3 linked regions of the Lepisosteus oculatus genome follow. The protein of the gene in region 2 interacts with the protein of the main gene of each other region in a biochemical or structural test. Links are inferred from orthologs where the notes say so. Each region holds a gene or a part of one and is shown on either strand. Other genes may lie near its edges. The genes, in order: dicer1, ago2 and trinucleotide repeat-containing gene 6A protein.

Evidence for each region.
Region 1: the proteins of ago2 (region 2) and dicer1 form a complex in vitro, tested with the Homo sapiens proteins (2 studies listed by BioGRID and IntAct). The link is inferred for Lepisosteus oculatus from reciprocal best matches to the Homo sapiens genes AGO2 and DICER1.
Region 3: the proteins of ago2 (region 2) and trinucleotide repeat-containing gene 6A protein form a complex in vitro, tested with the Homo sapiens proteins (2 studies listed by BioGRID). The link is inferred for Lepisosteus oculatus from reciprocal best matches to the Homo sapiens genes AGO2 and TNRC6A.

What each region holds. Positions count from the first base shown.
Region 1 is NC_090703.1:556,512-564,204, forward strand, and holds the start of dicer1 (endoribonuclease Dicer), read left to right. Parts: upstream 1-4,653; 5' UTR 4,654-4,737; intron 4,738-7,693. Other genes in the region: clmna (calmin), read left to right, coding at 1-1,264, 1,919-2,100, 2,595-2,685, 3,031-3,095, 4,488-4,653. UniProt on the Homo sapiens protein: Double-stranded RNA (dsRNA) endoribonuclease playing a central role in short dsRNA-mediated post-transcriptional gene silencing.
Region 2 is NC_090705.1:34,006,902-34,014,001, forward strand, and holds the start of ago2 (protein argonaute-2), read left to right. Parts: upstream 1-4,005; 5' UTR 4,006-4,210; coding exon 4,211-4,235; intron 4,236-6,904; exon of another isoform or gene 6,905-7,100.
Region 3 is NC_090714.1:11,923,257-11,930,569, forward strand, and holds the start of trinucleotide repeat-containing gene 6A protein, read left to right. Parts: upstream 1-4,230; coding exon 4,231-4,329; intron 4,330-7,313.

The sequences.
Region 1 (7,693 bases), on a different chromosome or scaffold from region 2:
ACACACATCTCCCGACAGAGGTGGGCACTGTCAGCCCTGGGCCCACGGAGACGACTCCTCGGAGTCCACCTCCAGCTCCGCAGTATCTGCCGGGAATGGAAAACTGCCCCTGGAGCTGTGCTCTGAGATGTCCTTCCTAGTGTCCAGCTCGAGCTCCCCGCAACCCTCCTTCGTGGACTCAGTGCTTGACTCTCCGGACTCGCTGAGTGAGATTGCGAGTGAGTCCATGCCGCTGGATGGAGAAGGACAGTCTTCCGACAGCAGAAGCAGCAGCTGCCTCAATGAAAGCGATCCTCCTTTTGATCCCAATGGCAAGTGCTCCCCTGAGAAATCAATAAAAACTGTAAAGAAAGATTATATCCAGGGCACGGAAACTCCACTAGAAGACAATGCTGCAGAAGACAACATTTTTTCTGACCTTTTTATCGATGAAGGCACTTTCTCACAAAGTTCTGTGGATAGCTTTCACATGAAATCCAAGCTTCTGTCTGAGGAAGAAGATGCATACAGATACATCTTGGATTTGAATGATGCTGAAAATGCAAGTCAGTCAGAGTGCTGTAGTGGTCAAGAGGAGATTAGCACACCCAGTGAAGCCCAGGACAGACTGGAGACTGCGCTTAAGCAGAATTGCCTGTTGCATCACAGTTTAGAGGAGATAGTCCCCTCATTTATGGCTTCGTCCAGTGCTGACTTGTGTGGGAATACTGTCCCTTCAGAGCAGGACAAAGAAAGGAATCAGGAAGGGCTGAAACTAGATGCATGCACCAGACCTGAAACTCAATGCACCACCCAGCTGCTTTGCATTAATGAACCTGGTGAAATGAATGGAAGTGTGGTATATAATGCTAGACAAAATAGTATTTTACCTGTGGACATGGTGTACTACCCTTGCTATGAAGAAGCCGTATCAAATGTTTCTGGAGCATTTTCAAAGCCGGTCACTGAAAGAAAGCAGCTTCTATCTGGTCCATCTTTAGGTTCTGACAGTGCTCCAGCACAGTCCGATCACCATAGAAACACAGAAGCCTGCACAGGGAATCACCCAGACATGCTAGAAACAGAACTTCATGCTGATCTGGAGCACCTTAACAGAGTCACAGAAAGGTCTTGTCATGGGTCCATGTCTGCACAGCAAGACAGGGGGACAGAGGACCACTACGAGTATGTGGTCAGTACTGACGGGGAAGTGTCCACAGACAGGCTGTCAGACTCCATCAGAGATTGTCTTGCAGAGCAAAGCCAAGGCTCCAGTCAGTATCAGGTATGCAGAGATTTGGAATTAAGTATTTATTATTATTATTGAAATAGGGAATAAGATTACATGTTGTTAATGTGCTGCATCTTGTTTTAAAGATTTGTCTGACTTTTTATTCAAAAATGATTTATTATTAATCGGCTACCTGTTAAGCTCACTTATTTAGGGGAATATTCAAAGGATGAATGTATTGTAATAAATGAGTAACAGATGCCTTAGTTTACTTAGTAAAGTTAAATATTTTTAAATGTATCTTTGAATTTTTACACATTTTCATTCATATGTATCTTTCCTTTAGTGGGGAACAAGAGTGGTATTATATGGAAGTTGTATTATTTTAAGCAGGCTATTATAAAACTAGAAGGGTTGTACTATTTATTTAATAATACTGTATGAATTCCTGACTATCACCAACCAACCTTTTTTACTGCTGAAATGTACTGAAAGTGGTGGTAAAACTTTTTGGTAGCTAATAATTCATCACAACATGCATTGTAAATTTAAACTGATGTTCCTGAAGCTTCAGTGTTGAGGTATGTCAGTTCGATTATGTAGCCTGTGTGACACCTGTGCTGTTTCCCTTCTTTACTTAACTTAATGTCCTTCCCCTCTGGCTGAGTCCTTGCAGGCTGTGATTGCTCTCTCTTTATTCATGGCCAGGATGCAGGAGAACAGATTGAGAATAAAATGCCAGGAGGTGTGGATTGTGATAAGAAGGAGCAACAGAAAGAGGACTTCTGGGATTTAGAAGATGTAGAATCAGATGTGTCTGAGATCAGCTGTGAATTTATTACTGCCACAAAAGGACATACTGCTGCTGGAGAAAGCACAGACTTACCGAGGTACCACAGTTATCTGATGTAACACATAATATTCTCCTACATGGTATAAATAAGAAATGTTGTCTCACTGGTGATTGATGAATATAAAGATAAGGTAATATTTAATTATATTAGCTGTGCCTTAAAATGACATTTAGTTATTAAGATACTTTGAACTTAATGGCCTACTTGGAACTGAAAATTTGGTCTGTGCCACACGAGCTCATGGCCTTAATCTGCAGTATCCTAGTCAAAAGGAAGGAGTGTGCATGCTGGACACACCAGCAGGTGTTACTCTACTGCTCTGCGCCTTTGGCTCATGCGGTGTGACAGCTGCTGCGGTCTGTTGATATTCATGTCAGGGTTTTTACCGGAATCAGTCACAGTCAACAGGATACTTTTTTTAGCCTTTTGTCAAAAGCAGCATTTGCTCCCATTTCCCCCTTCAGTAAAAATGAAAGAGTAGTTCAGTAAAGTGGTGGAAAACATTAAATACATTTATTCTCTCTGAGCAGCACAGCGGCACCGTGTGATGATTCACTGAGAGAAAGCCACCTTTCTCACATGCTATACCTGAGGAAGCTTGATGACAGTGAGGACATTAAGGTAAGTTAATAAGAAACCCAGCCTTAAAGAAAGAATTCAGTCATTTTAAAATATCTCCCTATAATGTGCAATTTAAGCAATGTGTGATAAAGAAACCTTTAACTTTTTTGGAAGATTTTACTTCTCCATTAGCTGAATGTAGAGATGCATGTAGAAATTAGTTTTTTAGAAAGGTTCACCATTTCATTGGCTTGTGTGGAGATTAAATCTAGAACATATTGCAGTTGTTTTATCTACCTCTACAGTTTCAGACTTGGAAAAACTCAACACATCTGTGCCAAGTTGTCTCCATTTAACACGAAGCATGCAAAGGAAATGAACAGGTGTTTTTTTTTATCTTAACAGGAGACAAGCATGAAGATCAAGGCGAAAGGGTGTGAGACAATTCAGACAGTTAGTTCTGATACCAGGTATTTTATATGAAGACGCCTAAACATTGTACTGTAATTCTGCCCACATTTATCATTGTATACTGTATCACATCACCTCACTTTATTAGCCACATACAATTGTCTTGCATTAGGAATTCATCTTCTCGCATACCCCAGGTTGCTCTCCATGAGACACAGACACACAGACAGGGAGAGAAGCTTGGGGTCAGAGCGCAGGGTCAGCCATTGTACATTGTACAGCCCCTGGAGCAGTTGGGGTAAAGGGCCTTGCTCAGGGGCCTAACGGAGAAGAGTTCCTCTGTCGGCCACAGGATTTGAACCAGCCACCTTCCAGCCACTGGCATAGATCTTTAGCAAAAGTGCCACCACTCCGCCTGTTGTAGACTGTTGCTGAAACAAATACTAAAAATCATTAGACAAATATTACAATTACATTGTGATTATTGATTGATTTATGATTATTTTAAGGCTTTTCACATAATTTATACATTTTATTAAATATTTCATCTTACTTTAAATTATTAACTTATCTAGATGCCACCTTAATGTTCAGATCCGGAAGTGCAAAATGGCTGCTGTATTAATTAATCAGTCAATCTTTTATTTGCTTTAATTGCCTTTGCAATAGTTTGTCACAGAGCGCTTTACACATTCACAATATAATGGTTTAGGCTTGGTCATGCATGGAATTTGTTTGGAGTACAAAACAAATTGGACCTTGAAGGATATAGTAAGAAGATGAACAGTTTATCTGTATCTTTTTCCAACAGTAGAGGCTAGATAGGTCGAGTCAGTCACAGTTAAGGATTAAGGCAAAGATAGAGAGCACAGGGTTCACCAAGGAAGCCTAAGAGGCTGGTTGTGCCCCTTGTAGTGGGAGCACAGAAAGACAGTCTTCCAGCAGCACGCAGTGTCATGTAGCAGGTCAGAATGAATACAGAATGACACAATAGGCTCTGTGGTATTAACAGTTCAGAGAGTCTCAACAAATCCAGTACTCTTAACTCGGTAAGTGAATTCTGCAATTCTGTATTGAAAAATGTGACTCGTACACTTACAGGTGTCCTGGATCTGGAAGTAGCTCTTAGAGCCTGAAGAAATCATCGTTACTCACCTTGTGCTCACATTCAGTGAGCCTTTTGTTCTGTTCCACAAGCTTTCTGTGTGTGTTAATATTGTACACTCATCAAATTAGATATTACCAGGTGTTGTCTACTTTCGTTTTTTCCCATGACAACCACTTGTAAGTTAAAGTTCTCACTGTGCTGCTGGAGGATCTCAGATACAGAGGTCTGCACTGCCTCATGGTGTTGCAATCACCATGCTTGAGTCAGAGGCTCATCACCTCCTTCATCACAGGGTGAATGAACCCCTGGACATTGCCTGAATGGCAGCTCTCTTATCTTGCAGAGAGGAGTACAGCGGTTCAGAGAGCTCGCCAGAGACGCCTGTCAGCTCTTCGGAGGACTGCATGCAGCTGCTGCTCTTCCTGTGGATCCTCCTCTATTGCCTTTTTCTCATCCCCCAGCTGGACCTTGAAGCTCTGCCACATGCTCTCCTTGCACTGAAGAAATGAGGAGCTCTGTTACATGTTACAGGCTTCACGGAAGGTCACAATCGACAGAGGACAATCAAGAGCACAGAATGTTAATCTACTCATGTTTGTACATATGCATTTTTGTTTTATTTTTACTTTATAACTTATTACTGACTTCGTAGCCCAACTGGAATCTGAAAGGACACTAGACTGCAAGGAGTCACTAGATGGTACAGTAACAGCGCTGCACACGGTTTACTGCCTTTAGAAAGTCTTTTATTACAGTGTTCTGTAGTTTATAAATAATTATTATTGCTTGTAAAAGAGCCAGTCATTCTAAGTGGAAGGATGGTACAGTTTTTTTCACCAGTGGATATTGCAGCAGTAGTTTCAGTTTTGAAATATGCAAGGTGTTATGTCACCTTGTGCCACTTTAAAGCATTAGTCCATGGACTCCACATCAGTCTCTGTGTTCCTATACTTGTGCTGCTTACATTTTCTATAGACAGAAACTGCCAAAGATACAGTACAGTATTTAGAGTGGAGAAAGGCTGGGCCTCTTCTTTTGCTTTGCTTACAAAGTAAATACAGTCTTGGTCTGTGCATTCTTTTGCATTTTAAATTAGGCAAGCAAGTTTTAGTGTGAGAGAGTGTTTAATTTATAATTGCTTTTTTGCCAAACATGAAGAAAATAATGGAACTTTTTGTGTCGCAAATAATTTTACATAAAATGTAAATATATAGAATGAATACTGTATTCATTTCTATTTTTATTGTTTCTTTCGTCATAAGGTTTATAAATTCTTGATTTCAGAATTCTTGGGATATTTAAAGATCTAAAAATGCACTTATTTACGTATAATTACATTGGTAATATTTAAAAAATAGTCAGGCTTTAAAATTGTTTTTGTACAATTTATATTAATGAGAATGGAACTACAGAACTTTAAAGGTTTTATAATGGATCATGTATTAATTGTATTTCTTTTGTTAAAGGATGTTAAAAGGTTTCAATATAGTGCTTTACAAGTAATCTGAAAAAAACTAAATTTTCATACGAATGAGTTCTAATTAAACTGTATAAAATGGTAGATTTTTTACTGTTACCCGAATGATTAATTTTTAAGCTATGGGTTTTGTTGTAACAGAAGAAATAAGGTTCTTGATCCCGAGATGAAGTGAAACAGATGAGTTTATTGCATGCAAGGAACAATAAAGCCGAAGTCTTGTTTCCCGCAAGAAACAACAAAACCGAAGTATTGTTCAACGTACTGTTACAAACTTTTGGGTTATATAGTGTTTTCTTCTCCGTTTCTGACGTCACTCGGTATGATGGTAAAGAGGGGGGTTCATGGTATTTGGCCAGTTTACGATGTTCTGGGCAAATGGTCAGTTTAACATTACACCCAGGGGGGTTCCTAGCTGGCATCTGCAATCCTTATCAGTTAACCCCCTTTCCTGCCATAAACCCCTGCTTGTGACTTGGAAGTCTAAACCCCCTACAGAAAAGATTAAATTCAAACCCCCGTCTTCACATCTTTCTTCATTCCCCCCTTATAAAATATGGCATACGTCAGTGTAGCCTATTTTTATACATACAATGTCAGGGCAGATCTTTCCTTTCTTGGCGAACAGGTATGTATTGCCATGACATTGTACATTCCACGGTTATGGCAAGATGTGATACATGTTTTTGTGCACGTGATGATTACAATTATACATATAAACAATACTACTCCTACAGATAAACACTATAAAAAGGTTCCACCCCAGGCCCCAAACACAGACTTTACCCAAAACCCAATTCCCCAATTTTCAGTATAATAGTCCTGATATTTCTGTCCCTCATTGTAAATGTGTTGGGCCAGATCTGAGATGTGCTCAGAATTATCAGGGATATATGTGCAGCATTCAGTGCCAATTACTGCACAAGTTCCTCCTTGGGCCGCCAGTACATAATCTAAAGCTAGTCGGTTCTGCATGGCCACTGTTCTGAGGGCTACCATCTCATCATTAACAGCCTTCAGACTAGATGAGGTAGAATTTGCTAATTCTTCTAAAGTCGAAGCCATTTGAATTAACTCTCGACTCAGAAAGTTCATGCCGGCTTGTGGAAATATTATACCTAAATAATATTCCCAATCAGCCAATTTTCTTTGTGGTCTGTGGTTAGGTCCGAAGGGGGTGTGGGTTTGAACACGGATATGAGGAACCACATATCCTAAATAACATGAGCCAGACCACTGGGCTGGCAACCATGGGTAGGCTCGTTTTCCACAAATGAAATATGTTCCGTTTGGCGCTCCCCATGCCTCTGAAAATAAGAAACTTATACCGAATTGTGGGGTGTGCCGATCCCATCCTGGAATTTGGAAGGTAGAGGTGGATATATTTGCAGCGATGGTAAGGTTGCAACGACTCCATCCAACCAAGTGCAGACCATTAGTGTGCTGAAAACATATGTTTCCCTCACGTTCCTTATTTAGAGTCAGGTATGGTGGTGTATGGCTTCTGTTATATTTAGGAGCGTAAGAGCCTGTGAAACTCGTGGGCTCTAAGCCTCGCTCCTGTAGATACTGTAATGTTGTGCAGGTTAAAGTCGTGTTATGGCAACCCCCATAGTTTGTCATATTAAAATCTCCTAAATTATCCCTCCAAATGATCATGCCTATGACTTCCTCGAGACGCCAAGGAATGGCTCCCATAGGAAGTCCTCCCTGTACATATTTGGGTAATGCTGCACACACACAGCAGGCACTTTGGTTGGTTTTCTTAGCTGTCAGATAGGAGAGGCCTAAAAAGGAATTAATTCCATGTTCTCCTTTGTGGGAGAGATGATCATTAATCCCTGCGGAACATAGTTCTACAGCAACAATTATCATTATTGACAGAAATGATTTCATTCTGAGTCTGTAAATGGGGATGAGGCTCGTCGGCAGTGTGGCGCGTGGATCCAGCGATCTTTTCCTTCCACTCGAACCGCAGACTCGGTTGTCAACAGGATCTGGATCCCATCTGGGCTGGAGAACCTGTGAAGGAAATTTCCTGATCCACACCCACTCTCCTGGGATGAGGTCGT
Region 2 (7,100 bases):
CATCATCCAGGTGGGGCTGCACACGTGGTGGTGGAGGGGAGTCCCCATAATCTGTAAAGTGCTTTGAGTGGAGTGTCCAGAAAAGCGCTACATAAGTGTAAGTTATTATTACTCAAAGGGATGAGCAAATGTATCCTGATCCATTTGGAGGGGAGTATGCACTCCCCTCCACTTTATCCCTGCTTCATAGAGCTGATAGAGCTCATTACTCTTGTGGTTGATTTGTAATGTTGCTGTGTGGTTTAAATCAAGATCGGTCTGAGGGAACTTACAGAAACACATGGCTTTACTATAAAGCCGAGTTAAAACACTTTGATCACACGCAGACAGAAACCTTTACACTAATTTGGTGACCTTTCAAACTACTCTTTTAACTTAGTGAAACCGAGAGTAAAACTAAATGTCACATTCCAAGATTTAGTGAAGATTTTGTGTTGACAGATATAAAAGTTCTAAGGTACTTGAGCTGTGAGATGTACATACTGTATATCATATATTTAAACATCATAATAATTATTAAACAGAGATTTGGGAAACATATGGAGTACTTTTCTATGGTTTAGTAAGAATAATCAGAAAGAACAGTTCAGCTGTTATCCATAGTTCAATTGTAAGAGTTATGAAATAGGTGCAATAGCATATTAACAACATGGTATGACATATTGCATTAACATTTTAGAAAGAAACCATTTACCTATTACAATGGTTTGATTTAACAGTGAACCATTAAGTATTAGATATTTATTTTGCAATCAATAATTGTTTTTCATGTTCTTATCTATGTTAAAAACATACTCTCACGTTGCAAATATAATTAAGATATGATTATACCTTGTAAACTTATTTTTGTTGAGAGTGGAGGATTCTGGTATCTTTTCCAGAGGCAAAAAAAATAATGTAGAAACAACATATATTTCCTTCTATTTAGAATCATTGTTATTTTAATGTTATTAAACAAACAACATGTTTATAAAATAGCAATGGAAATATCTGCATCATCCTAAATTTATGGAAAAGTGTCGTGTTTGCAGTCTGTCTGATGTGTAGAAAATGAGTGACCTCCCAAGATGGGCTGGCTCACACTAACTGAGAAAAGCCAAGTAGAATATGATCTAGAGTAAAAACAGATATGAGTCATGTATCATATTTGTGCAAGACTGGCTTCACACTGCTTTTTTTCCCTAGAATTTACTGTTCCCATGTGGGGCTGAAACAATGATATGACTGGCTCTTGAGTCAGATTCATGTGTAGAATATCTGCATGCAGCTGCATTCTGGAAATTACTGAATATTGTAGGGCCATGCGTTACTGTACGTAACCCTGTTACTAGATTTGAAAAAAGCAATGCATCAGTCCTAACATTTGGTCCTTATTATAAGACTGCTGAGCACATCCTCTGACATTATCACACAAATCAGGCACACACTAATGCAAAGCAAAAATATAACAATAATAATTCCTTACTTAATTCGTTAATTATAGTGCTTTTCAATACAATAGATCTTAAATATCTTAAACATAGGAGACGATCCACTTCACCAACCAATAAATACAGCTCCCATCTCGGTCGTACGCAGAGATTCCCAGACACAGCAGAGGTAGTAAGAAAATGCTTAGCTGAATTAAGGGGGAATTCTGGTTAGACCAGATGGTATAAACCTAGAGTAGAAATTAGCAAGCACACAAGTCTTTAGTTTTACAAACATGGGACAGACTTTTGTTACCGAAATTTAAAGTCAGCAAAACGGTAAAGGTTTGTTCCATGTTGAAAAGACAAGAAGAGGAACACAATGTTTCAGCTGGGGAGCCTTCTTTGGGTATGCTTTTTTCAGCATGAAATAAACCTTAACTTGTTCCTTTGCAGGCTACCATGGTAACACAACTACATACTTGAATTAGTCAGCAAAGAGGCCCTTGCATTTTTTAAAGAAAATTATTTCTGTTGTGAAAACACAAAATATGTGTAATGGAGAATATAGTATTGTTAGGACAACTACTGCAATCAAGAAACTGGATTCTGATAAACATTATTAAGAAGATATGTTTCCAAGTTCATAAAACATTAATATAACAATATTCTTAACATTTTTCAGTTAGATAGTATTAAACAAATTGTGATCAAGCTAGCGTTTTATTGGAAGGACTTATTTGTAATTTATGATTCATTAATTTAATGAAAATGCTGTAGTCTTTTGTTTTGACAAGTTTAGACGGTACATTTCAGACTATAAGCAGTTTCAAAGTACTTTCATTTTCAATGCTTGTGTTTGCAAAAGGATTTAAAATAAAAGCAAAGGAACTGACCATTTTTTAGTTTTATTATTGTTCTTGCAGTGTAATTAAATTTTACATATTAAAATAGAAAAGCTTCTGCAAAAGCCATCACAGTGTTATATCACATAAAGAGTTTGGTTACCGCAGAAACAGTTTTGATTTGATCCCAAAGAAAAAACATTCACTGCATTTGTAATCATTGGGCTGGTCAGGAAGATAAGATAAGATAACACTATCCCAAAGGGAAATTGGGGAATTTCCTAATTTTTTTTAGAAATTAAGTAATTGTAATTTCCATTCAAATATCTTACTTTCGGAAAGAAAAAACATAATCAAAAACCAATATAGGGTTTGGCATGCTATTGAAAAATATTACCTCTCTCCAGTCAGTCTGCAGAGGAGCAACTAGATACATTCTGGGCCTTAAAGGAATGTTTGGCACCAACAGGTTTTAGGACATGAACCTTTTTAGGTCTGAGCAAAGAGCACTAAAGACAGGAGGGAGCGATCCAAGTATTCAAAACCTCAAAGTCAAGCCAACTTCACAAGTGGATACTATGTGGTAGTTCATTTGAATCTGAAAACAGGAGGCATTTACTTAAACAACATTACATTATTGAAACAATCTACATTGTGAGAGTGTAGAGCAAACTACCCGTCCATGCTGCTGAAGCCGAAACTCTGCCTTCTTTCACAGAAATAAATGGGCGTCATCATGTGGTCAATTACAGCCACAGACGGGTTTTATGGGTCTAATCGGAAGCATAGAGCCCGAGAAAAGTACAATTATCATGTCAGTTGAATTCACGCTGCTTTTCCAGACAACCCTACTGCACCGTCTAGAATCCATAAAATAATATTTGGCGGTTGCATTTTGAGTTCTAGTTACAGATTCATAATTACACGTGGGAAATGATCAACGCTGTTTAAAGTCGAAACAACGCGTTCTTTTCTTCCTAAACTTGGGCTCTGGGGGAGATGAACAGGATAACAGGCAGAAAGACACGCTTGCAGAGGTTGGCAGAGGACGTGAGCGTCGCTTGAAAAAGTTCCCTCTCCAAGTACAGAGGACTCCCGCTTGCAGTTAACAGGGAGGGGAGCGAGGCGGGACATCGCGTCTGGTATGCAAACAGGACAGTCTTGATGCGTGTTTTCTGAATGGCCGTTTTTATAACGGCTAACCACGCCGCAATTATGTTTCAGATTTTAGAGTAGCCCCATCCTCTGTTTATACTTTACGACGAAAAAAAAAGTAACATGTTAAAAGAAGTCATCACAGATCAAAGACACTCAAGCCCTTATTTACTTTATGTTACACGCGACTGTTCCTGGTACCGACACTTAAATGGAAATATTTTTTATATTGTCCCATACTAGATTAGGGCGCCTGCAAAGTAAATATAGTAAAATAATAAAAAAAAAACTGGTTGGTATCCGGTTTACAAATCATCGTCAAAGCGGGCTGTATTTTGTGACTGAGCCAAGTTTTTGTTCCTTCGAAGCCTGTAAATGAACCACATTAAAAAACAAACAAACTGTACAGGCAGGTACGTTTTTGCCAGTTTTTTGTTGTTGTTGTTGTTGTTTCCCGGTGCGGTAACTGAAAAAGCCCATCGCTTCAAGCCTATGAACACCGCGCAGCGGCGGCGTCCGCCCAGAGGGCCCCGGGCGAGCACATGGCTTTCACCGCGCCGGCCCCCCTGGGTGACGTCACGGCCCCTTCTCCTCTCCTGCGGTGAGCTGCTGGGGGAGGAGCGGAGGAGCCCAACTAGCGAGGATCCGTGTTTGTGTTTCATTCCCTTCACCCCCCAACTTTAATCCTCTCGAGTGAGGCTGCCCCTCTTGTTCAACGTAATCACGGCGAATAATTTTTTCTTTGGGGGGGGTGGAAATCTGAAACGTGGAAAGTGAACGGCAGCCGGACGAGACGGAAAGATGTACACGGGAGGAGCAGCTGGCGGTAACTTCATCTAGTTTCTTTTTTTAAAAAAAAAATACTACAGAATGTGTGTTGATGGGGGAATTTAAAAAGCGGAGGAGGAGGTGGTGGTGGTGGGGGGGAGCGTTTATTTGTTTAAGTTTGCCTTTTAGTGGTTCCGTAAGGAAAGTTGGGCTTCCAGTTGAAAATCGCTTCGTGTTTGCAAATCGCCAGGCGTGGGGGGAATGAGATAACGAGTCTTGACGCGGAGAGCGAGTCTGGAGGAAAGAGTTGGGAGCAGAAGGGAGGGATAGAGGCCCAAGACACCGATAACGTGAGGAGAGTAGGTCGGGGAGGGGGGGGTTATCGTGGTACGATTTCGGACGAGCCCCTTGCGAGGTGAGCCGGAGTGGCGCCGCGGTCGTGCGAGTTGGCGCACCAGCTGCGCCTCACGGCGGTTTCTGGTCGCGCTGGCGGGGTTGGCGGTAGGCCTGAGCGCCAAGCCCCGAGCTGGCGTGAGCGCGCAGGCGGGGGGACCGGGGCTGAACTCCCGGGGGCATCCGGCGCTGGCGGCTCGGAGTCATGGAACCGGTGCACCCCGCTTCCTCCTGCGGAAACGCACGCTGAACAAGCTCACGAGTTTATCAACGTGAAAATAATGACTAAATATGGTCTATAAGGCTGCTAGGCACGTCTCTGTACACTGGACAGCACAATGGTTGCGATACTGTACTTTCAGCATCGTGGACTTTTTCTGCTCTGAGACCAATGTTTTCGTCAGCTAGCGCGTATTAAATGCAGAATTTGTACGACACAATTGTGGCTTTTGAATATGTAGGGTGGATCTTGAGATCTTATATCAGTGGTGGAGTGTTATGTGTTGTTAACGGCAGCAAGAGTTTAACTTCATTCCCACACAACTGGGTCGTTCATTACGGTGATGTTGTTATTGAGGGTTTTAAAGTGAAAAGTGCGCAGCTAATGGTAGTTTATCTGTCTAATTTCCACTGTGAACCACAGCGGTTCAGGTTGCGGTTTGCCTGGCATCAGAGCATACCTGTTTTTGAAACTGGAACTAGACCAGAACTACAATCTAAACTCCTTTTTTTGTATCCGAAATGCATCGGTTTTTTTCCCGCTGGCTCTCCTTGCCCTTTTAAGTAATTACACACTGCAACACAAGACATTTTACGTTGTGTACTGTATTACAAAGGGACTTTATATGTGATCAAGAACGCAGATTCCAGTAATGCATCTTCAGTTTACCTTAATCATCCTCATTTTCCCTTTCCCTTTGACTGAAGGGGGCTTTATCTGGGAGAAAGGGGATGTCCCTGTCATCTCAACGGTAGGGAGGGATAACTTGGCTAGTGTAGGTGCAGAAAGATGAAGCTATTTTTGAAGTAGGCCATACGTCTTTCAGTGTGATGACCACAAATATCCATGTGGTAATTGAAATTGTTCTGTTTTAAGACATATGAATGACAAAGTAGTATGGGCTAAATTTCATTAGAAGATGACTGCTCTAATGGCATTTTGGTGTGGATATCACATCTCCCATTTGGCTTTGATATTCTTGAAAACTAGGTATGGCTCATATGTAGTAAGTGCTATGAGTGATTTTGAGTGTCAAAATGAGAAGGTGATTGTGCCTCGCCCCTGGTACAGAATGATGTTAAAAAAACTGTCTAGGGTAGATAAAAAAACCCTAAACTGATGGCGGGATTTCAGTATGCTTCAGTTAAGCGTTCTTAAAACTGCTGCTTGGTTTCCTCTGATTTCTAGATTCAGACGTGAGCGAGTTATGTGCTATCCTCAGGTTCACTCAGTTCCTGACTGACAGAAGAGTATCTTAGTCAAGTATCTGCACAAGTTCCTGGAATTTGCTGGCCAGTTTGTATGATCTGAAAGCCTTGCACAAAAGCCAGGCCCAGTTGGCTCAGAGCAATCCATTGCACTCTTATTTTGTAGCTACAAGTACAGCTTTGCTCCCTTTTACAGCCTAGAACAGCAGTAACACATTATGATCAAAACCTCAGAAGGTCTGTGAGCATAGTGATTCGTATTTGGATTTCCACAACTTATATATTGTAAACTCACGATGTATTATAAACTCAGAAATAAGTTTATTGTTCAGATGAAATGTATAAGGAGTGTTTAAAGCTGTATTTTGTTTTAAAAGCAGACCCTTGGAAACAAAGGTTGGTTGTAATACTAATTTGATATTTTCAACAGTGACTCAACTTTTCGATGGCGAGTTCACTTGTAGCATTTAAGTAAGTGAAAATGTTTATAAGCCTTATATCAGATATTCTGGATTGCAAATGGTAGGGAAACACACTTGGAGAGTTTTTGATTATTATTCGGGGGATTTTTTCGAGACTTTCTGGCAGTGGGCACGTGGAAAAAGGTCAGATCCTGGATCGGACGGCACTGTTTCTAAAAAAGGTTTGTGAGATAGTGGAAGATACGGAGGCACACTTTCTTGGAAAATTGAGTGTCTGCCTTTTCACTTGATCTACAGACATGAGAAACCTGTCTCGGCTGTTACTATTTGTTTGTGATAGATTGGATGAAAAAGATGAGATCAGTACAAAATTGGCCTGTCAGCTCTGTTCCAGCAGAATTAACATCCTGTATGTCTGATTCCTGACCCTCAAATAATCAGTTTGTAAATTTGTGCAATAATATTTTACTAATCATATATGGATGTGATTTGGTCAGTTACACTTATATAGCTCTTTTCTAGACACTCCACTCAGAGTGCTTTACGGTAATGGGGACTCCCCTCCACCACCGCCAGTGTGCAGCCCCCACCTAGCTGATGTGACGACAGTTCACCAACGTAAGCTCTTAGTGGGAAGAACAAAGTTATGAAGCCAGTTAATAAATGGGAATTATTAGGAG
Region 3 (7,313 bases), on a different chromosome or scaffold from region 2:
GTTCACGTCAGTCTACTTCTGGATTGTTGCGTGTAAACTGTTGCATTCAGAGAACTGTAGGTGTGAAACTCAGGCTCTGTGACATTAGCATTTTGGATTTGTCTCCCTGACATAACTCCTGCACTTTGACTAAGGCCGGAACAGGGCCCTTGAAGGCTCCTAGTTCGCTATGTTTTCTCTGGGACAGGCTGGTCTGGAGTGAGGGAGTTTCCAGAGAAAAGGGTGACCTCTGGGGAAAAAACAAAGAGATTTTATCTGGTCTCGGTTTGTTTGCAGCACCCCCTGCTGTAATTACATATGGACCTTTTAAAAAATGGATGAACGTCGCTCACTGCAGATAGTTATATTAATTTTTTAGCCAAATTTATTTAAGATTGTATAGCAAGGAATGGTAGTGTAGTACTTACAAATGAACTACCTTGCTCAAGGGTACAATTCTAAAGCCCTTACCACTGCCCAAATTGACCAAATGTATTAGCAAACCCCAGCTACTGGGAACATTTGTTTTCTTTTCAGTCTTCTCTGCACACGAACGTGCAATTTGTACAAATTTCTATTTATTTGTGACGGACCCTTCCCTTACCTAAGGCCACCCCAGGGATCTGCACGTATAAAAATGTCACAATAATGAAAAACAAGCACAGGCAACTTTATTATATTTTCAAGGCTTATAACAAAAAGAATGTAAAAAAGAACCAGCTCTATGCATACCCTTTAAATACTTCAAAAAGAACCCTGTTAAAACTCATGTGAGAATGTGCACATGTATTTTCTACCAGTAATTTGATTAATTATTGCCAGTGTGTCTATTCACAACAATTAGAGGCAGGTTTGGCATTCTCTAGTGTCTGGTTAGCTGTAATTGTAGATTTTTAAAGTCGATTTTTTTAAAATCTAAACAGAACTGAGCGTTTTCTTTTGGTATTAAGTTGAAAAAGTCTCATCTTTAAGAAGCTGGATTTGTTCTTCATTTTTTAAAGGAAGTGAAGAAGTCAAGAGCGAAGGAAATGTGGAGCTAAACACAAACTTTTCTGTGAGGTGAATTACCCCGCAGCCCGGAGCTCTGCTGTAAAGAGAGCTGACACACTGCTTCCTCAGTGCTCTCGTGGCATGCTTTCACATACCAGATCAGTCGAAGACCATATTAAATTACATCGACGGGAGTATTTACTCTGTGGCAGAACTTCCCTTGAAATATCTTGAGGTCACCGATTAAAAAGACAGTCAGCACGGAACAAGGCGATGAAAACAAACAAAACGCGTGGATCGCACTCTGTCGGGCGTGTTTTTCCTGTATTATTTTTCGGCTGTTGTTTCAAGCACTTTATAAAGAGCGCCAGGCCACATTTGGGCTGATATAATTTATGCCGGCACTGTTTTAATTACACAGTCGTGTCGTTTGTTTAGAAATTCCCATTACTGATGTCAAGTTGTGTTCATTATTCACTCAGGGCTTCGTAGCCCAGCTATTGTTCAGCGAGTGTTTTCCTCCAGACAGTCTGTGAAGCCGACCCCCACTGAAAAGCCCATTCCCTTGAATTAATCACAAGATGATATAGTTGGTGCCAGCTCTTTTTTAAGCCATTGATATAAAAGAGCTATTTGATTTAATTGGTATTTAAATGTACTCCAGATGAATGCCCACACTTCTACTGCTGTAAGTGGGAACACAGCTGTTTGTAATGAGCAAAATATGATTGTTATAACTGGGAGGGGGGGATACCTGGAACTCGTCAGACAGGGACAGACATGGCCTTGCTCTTTCTTCTAGATCCTGGCGGGTGTAACTCTTTTTCTGCCGCACACTTGAGATCTAGGAACACTGGGATTTCCACTTTGTCCTCTGTCTTGTCTATAGTTGCATCTGTTCAGGGAAAAGTAAAAGGTTTTGTTTATTCACCCGATGTTTCTGAGGAATGATGAGGTGCCAGGAATGGATTCTTGATGATTATGGACTTGTACATAAGGGACAAAAGTCTGTTTCTGTATACTGGTGGATCCCACCCCCATTAGATTGCTGAAGCCTTCATTGATCTAAGACGATCTAGGATCTATGATCTAAGATCCATTTGAATGTTTGCAGTCCACGTTTGGATTTTATTTCACTTAAAAAATAGATCATGTTTAAGAGCTGGGAACAAACAGTTCAACTTAATCTTATTATTCTTGGTAAAGCTCGTGAAAGGGTTTGATTGTGTAACTGAGAGCTCCATTGGAACAAAACGTGTGCAGACGTTTTTATGTGGGTGGCCAGCCCTTTCTTTGTGGGAACCCGTACTCTCAAGATTTTACTGGGTATCACTAAATTGTCAACCGGATAAGTACCCTGGAACAGAGAGCAATTTTGACCAGTTCTGCCCAATAATTGAATTAAAAGCTTGGATGGAATAAAACTCCATGTCCAGGGGCGACCAGTGCTTATTCTTGCAAACCGATATTGTGTGTGGGCATGATTGTAAGGTGAAAATTGTAGAAATATTGTATCTTTCACACGATGCATACTACATTGGTATCAACAATAAACCTTAGCTGAAAGAAATGGCCTTTTTCTGACTGAGGTGTAAGGATATATTTTTGTGTGTAGTGAACTCAGATTGTGGCTGGCTGAATAACACACAGGATATCTAATTTATACGAGCTCTGGAGGACTGAATGATGGGCGATTTGTCCCTCAGTACAACTAGAACAAGTTCTGTGTTTGGCAAGCCAAGTGTCCAAGTCAAGACTTGTGTCCAAGTATCTATTGCTTGTCTGTTGTGCCTTCTGTCAGACATCCATGCCATTACAATGTTATAAAAGGGTGTTATGCTTTAGATTGCTTTAGAGCTTTGTTTTTTGCATTCATTTAATTAATTTAGGAATCAAAAGATTGAATTAAGGTAAAACATAATTACATGATTTTGAGGTTCCTGAATGGTTTCATTAAATAGTGCAGGATGTCCTAGAAAAGTGCTTTAGGTCAAGATATTGAAGAGCATTTTAGAGACTGAAGGTGACTCTGGGTCAGGTTTCAGTTACATGTAGTAGTTTATTGTTACACGTACTAAATATATAGTATCGTCACTAGTTCTAAGCATTTAAGATAACCTTTTTTCCATAATTAACAATGATATAATATATAATGGAAAATATACACTATTAGCACAAAAGTTTAAAATAATCCAGTTGTGTTGAATTTTTTTATGAGAAATGTGAGTTCAGCGTTAGAGGTAAGATTATTTTAATTTGCTTAAAAATAACTCAACAACATAACTCAATAGATGTAATAGTATTTTCTAAGAGATTGAAGCCCTGTGCATAATGTTCATAATGAAATGATACTTCTCCCTATGATGATCTGAATGTTATTAAAGGACCAAATCTTTGCCAAAGATCTGGGGAATAAGATACTATTTATCCAAAGCCCCGTAGTGTATAATGGTATATATTTCCTCTTTGAGATTGTAAAGAAAACATAGTATGAACCATCCATGTCATTAATATGTTTGCAGAATATTATAACTTAAATAATATTCTAATTTCTCATAAAATTTAGTAATTATGTTTTTATGATATACATTATATAGATCATTTTTCTCCAAATAATATTCATTTATTCTTTCTTGCAGCCTGCAGTCGTTCCATGAAAGATTATATCTTTTGGAATTTTGTATGGTTTGAATATCTTTATGCAAAATTCTTTAAAAAATATTTTCTAGGTGATGCCAGAAATAAAATAAAATTCCTACCTTATATGAGTGGTAAATGTAGTGATCTAAACTTAAAGGAAACTGAGTGAATCAACAGCCGTGCGCGTTCAACTTAAAAGAAGGCAGCGTTGTTCCTGCGCATTCATAGTAAATTAACATTGCGAAAACAAAGTTCTGCTCTTGGCTGTCACCTGTCCCAGTTTCCAGATTTTCCAAGGGCACAAGGTGGAGGTTTTAACAAAAATTAAGCTGAGTGTTAGATTTGACTCGTGAAATAACGTGGACTTTCGAGTGTTAATAAACTCATTCGAATAACATTTTTTTTTTCTCAGTCGTGGCTCTCAAAAAAATAAAAGAACACCCCCAAAAAAGGAGACCCGTCCTGTGAAAACCAGCGGCGTTTTTTCGTGAAGGCTGGGGGCTCGCTTCCTCGGGCGGCATCCTTTCGGAAACCCGAGGCGTCCTCCTCGTCGGAAGCTACGTTTACCCCCCAATCCGTGTGCCGACATTTTAATTCGCCTCCAATCTCCCCCCTTCCGCCATGTCTGGTTCCTCTCTCCCTGCGTGTGCTGAGTGTGCTGGTCTGCAAAAGGCTGCTGCCACGCGCTTTGCTCTGGCATTCCTCTGTGCTGCGTGCCAGGTAAGGAGAGATCCGCGCCCGTCCGCTCCGCTCCGCGCCGCGCCGGGCTACGGGACGGGCGCCTGCCTTTATTTCGGGGGGTTCGTCGTCCTGCGGCTGGTACTGTTGAAAGGGCTGCAGATGAACGGAGCTGGGGTGGGGGGAGGAGAGGGGAAAAATAAAGGCAGGCATGCCAGTCTGCCAGTAGGTACAGATGCTGCGTAGTCTGTGCTCGTCCTTGAAGGCTGTCCAAGAGCTGGCTCAGGGCGCCGGAGGGGTGGCAGGGTTCCAGCCTCATCTCTCTCTCCCCCTCTCTCGCACGCTCCGTCTCTCTCCCTTTTTTGTTTTTTGTTTGCGTTTTGTCCGGCGGGCTGCGCGCAAACTGTCCCGTGTGCTCCTCGTCCTGTCAAGGGTGCCCCGCGACAGCCCGGGGCCGACGGGCGACCGACGAGGGGGTTGGCATGCTTTCCGTCCTCCCAGCCAGCGCCATTTGCCTTCACCTCCACCTGTCGGGTTGCAGGGGAGTTGGGGGGGGGAGGCATTGTCCCCCCTCACTCCTCCTCCTCCTCCTCATCCTCCACTTTTGTTGTGTTATTTTTTGTCACGAAAGCCGAGCGGCGGATGGCACCGTGCGGGGCTGCAGTGCTCGGCTGTGTGACGTCATGGCTGTCTGGCCAGCAGCGAACACGCTTTGCAGCGTGCAGGTTGCAGAGCATTTACTGCAGAGCCTGTGACCTGTTTTTCTTTCCCTGTGCAGCAGAAGAGGTTTTTTTGGGAGAGTGGGGGGGGTTTGTTGTTGCTTTGGTTGGTTATTTCCTCACGTCATAAATCCCGATTCATATCGCAGTAGTACCAGCTTAACCAGTGCCAGGTCGCAACAAAAGGGGGGGGGGGTGGGAAACCGAACAGAACAGTTTAGTCCTCTTTTCATTCCCCTTTTCTTTTTTGCCATCCATTATTTCGGTCCTCCTCCGTCCTGAATGGAAATTTCTCAGAGAAGTCGATCAGTGCCTGCTCATTTGAGAGGTAAATGAGAGCTGATTATTTAGTATCGGATGCATTATGTGTTTCGTACCAAAAAAAAAAAGAGAGAAAATCCTGTGGTTTTGATTTGTATGAATTCCACTGTTGCGGCATTGCATCTAGCCCGGGCTGCTATCTGAGGAGCTCTGAGGGCTGGGATGGTGCACAAAGGGAGAGCCAGAGAGGGTGGAAAGGACATTGCTGTAAGAAAACCTTGGCATCTTTTCTGGCATTGCTTTCGTTATTTATTTTTAAACCGTTGTCCCCCCCCCCTCTCCTTGCGCTTTTTGCCTTTATCCTTTGTTGCCCTTCGTTTGCAGCCGGCTGGAGTTTTTGTTTTGCGTTTTTTTCTTCTTCTCCTTCTCAGTCTGAGCTTCGTCCCCTTTTGTGAGAACGTTGTTTGGTACTGTCGCCGAGGCTGTGTGCCAAGTCTGTCTAATTAAGATTAAGCATATGCAGATTTGCCTTGTTTTCAGCTAATGACAGCTGCAAACAATTATTTGTCATGCTTGCTGATTGTTGATTGGTGAAAGGATAGCCATGAGAGGATTCTCAGCTTTCTCAGGGTGTGCGTGTGTCGGTGTATGTGTGTGTGTGTGTTGGTCTCGGTAAGTTTCGAGATGCTGTTTGTCTAGACAGACGTGGCCGGCGTAAATTTCTTTCATTTCGCCGTCTTCTCGTGATATCTTGAAACAAAAGAAGCAGTGGGAGAAAATTCTTGCGAAAGCAGAGGGGTTCATGCCTGCCTGCCTGTGTGGATGCTTGTGTTTCTCTGCTGCGGTGGGCTTCTTGGCATTGGGGGCCAATGTATAGGTTTTGTTCTTAGTGTGCCAAAAGGAGGATGATGGGGGGGGGGGGCATTGCGGCGGCCCTTCGTGCTCCTGAACGCCAGCGGGGTTAGTGATTCTATAGGGTCGCTTGTTTGTTTCCGTTTTGCGATTTCCATGTTGCCTCTGGGTTTTCATTTGTTTTGGGGGGTTCTTGCTATACAGCCACCGTGTAGGAACAATATGGGGGGAACAGCTAGCTCCTCGTTCAGCCTTCACAAGCTCATTGCGCAGTTAAAGGGAAGGCGTTGCAGCAGGCAGGGCTCTGGCTTCGCAGTCTTGTCCACGAAGCCCTCTTTGGCTCTGCAGCAGAGATCTGGTGCTCCCCTCTTCACAGCCTGGCACCACAGAGGCAGCTCTGATGAACCCTGTCTGGCCACGGAAGCTGAGAATCGGTCCGAGACAAATGCCTGCTCTCAGCTGGGCAGATGAGACTTTGTGACTTGTGGATCTGTTGATTTAAGAACATTTACAAGCGCTTCAGTCACAATCCAGATCCTCCCCACCTCCTGTCCGTTTGAAATGTTTTTGTTTTCTGGGTTTTGATGTAACAGAAGAGTGGGGCAGTGGTCTTGTCAAGGAAATACCAGGTACCAACCATGCTTGGAGGGTGAAAGACTTAAGCTGCGTTTCACAAAAATACTGTCTTTGTCATTAAAATTGCAGTTACTTATACAGGTATGAATCTGTCAGCACTATTGTGCAGGTGCATATAAATGTCTTTTTTTATGATTTGAATTATTAACACATTGTTTACCAGGAAAGTCTGGTGTGTGCAGGTGTGCATTGATCTTCAACTGGGTTTGCACTTTTAAATTGTCCATCAAGAAATGCAGTATGCTCTGGTGTGGAGAAACCTGTGTTTTACCTGGGAGCATTTCCCTGCCATCCTGGAACCAGTATTATATGAACGTCAGAGAGGCTGCACACGAGAGGAGGCTGTTTGCCCCATTGTGCTCATTTGGTTTTAAATCACGTAAGCGAAGATTTCCTCCAGACAGCAGTTCATGAAGGGGCAGTTCCTGATGGAGTTTGGGCTTCAGCCACCACACCTAACTAGAAGTCTGTCTAGGATTCGCACAGCTCTGTAAAGAAGTGTTTCCTATTCTCAATCCAAGACCTAACTTCTCTTTTTAGTTACCGTTTGTTACTCAG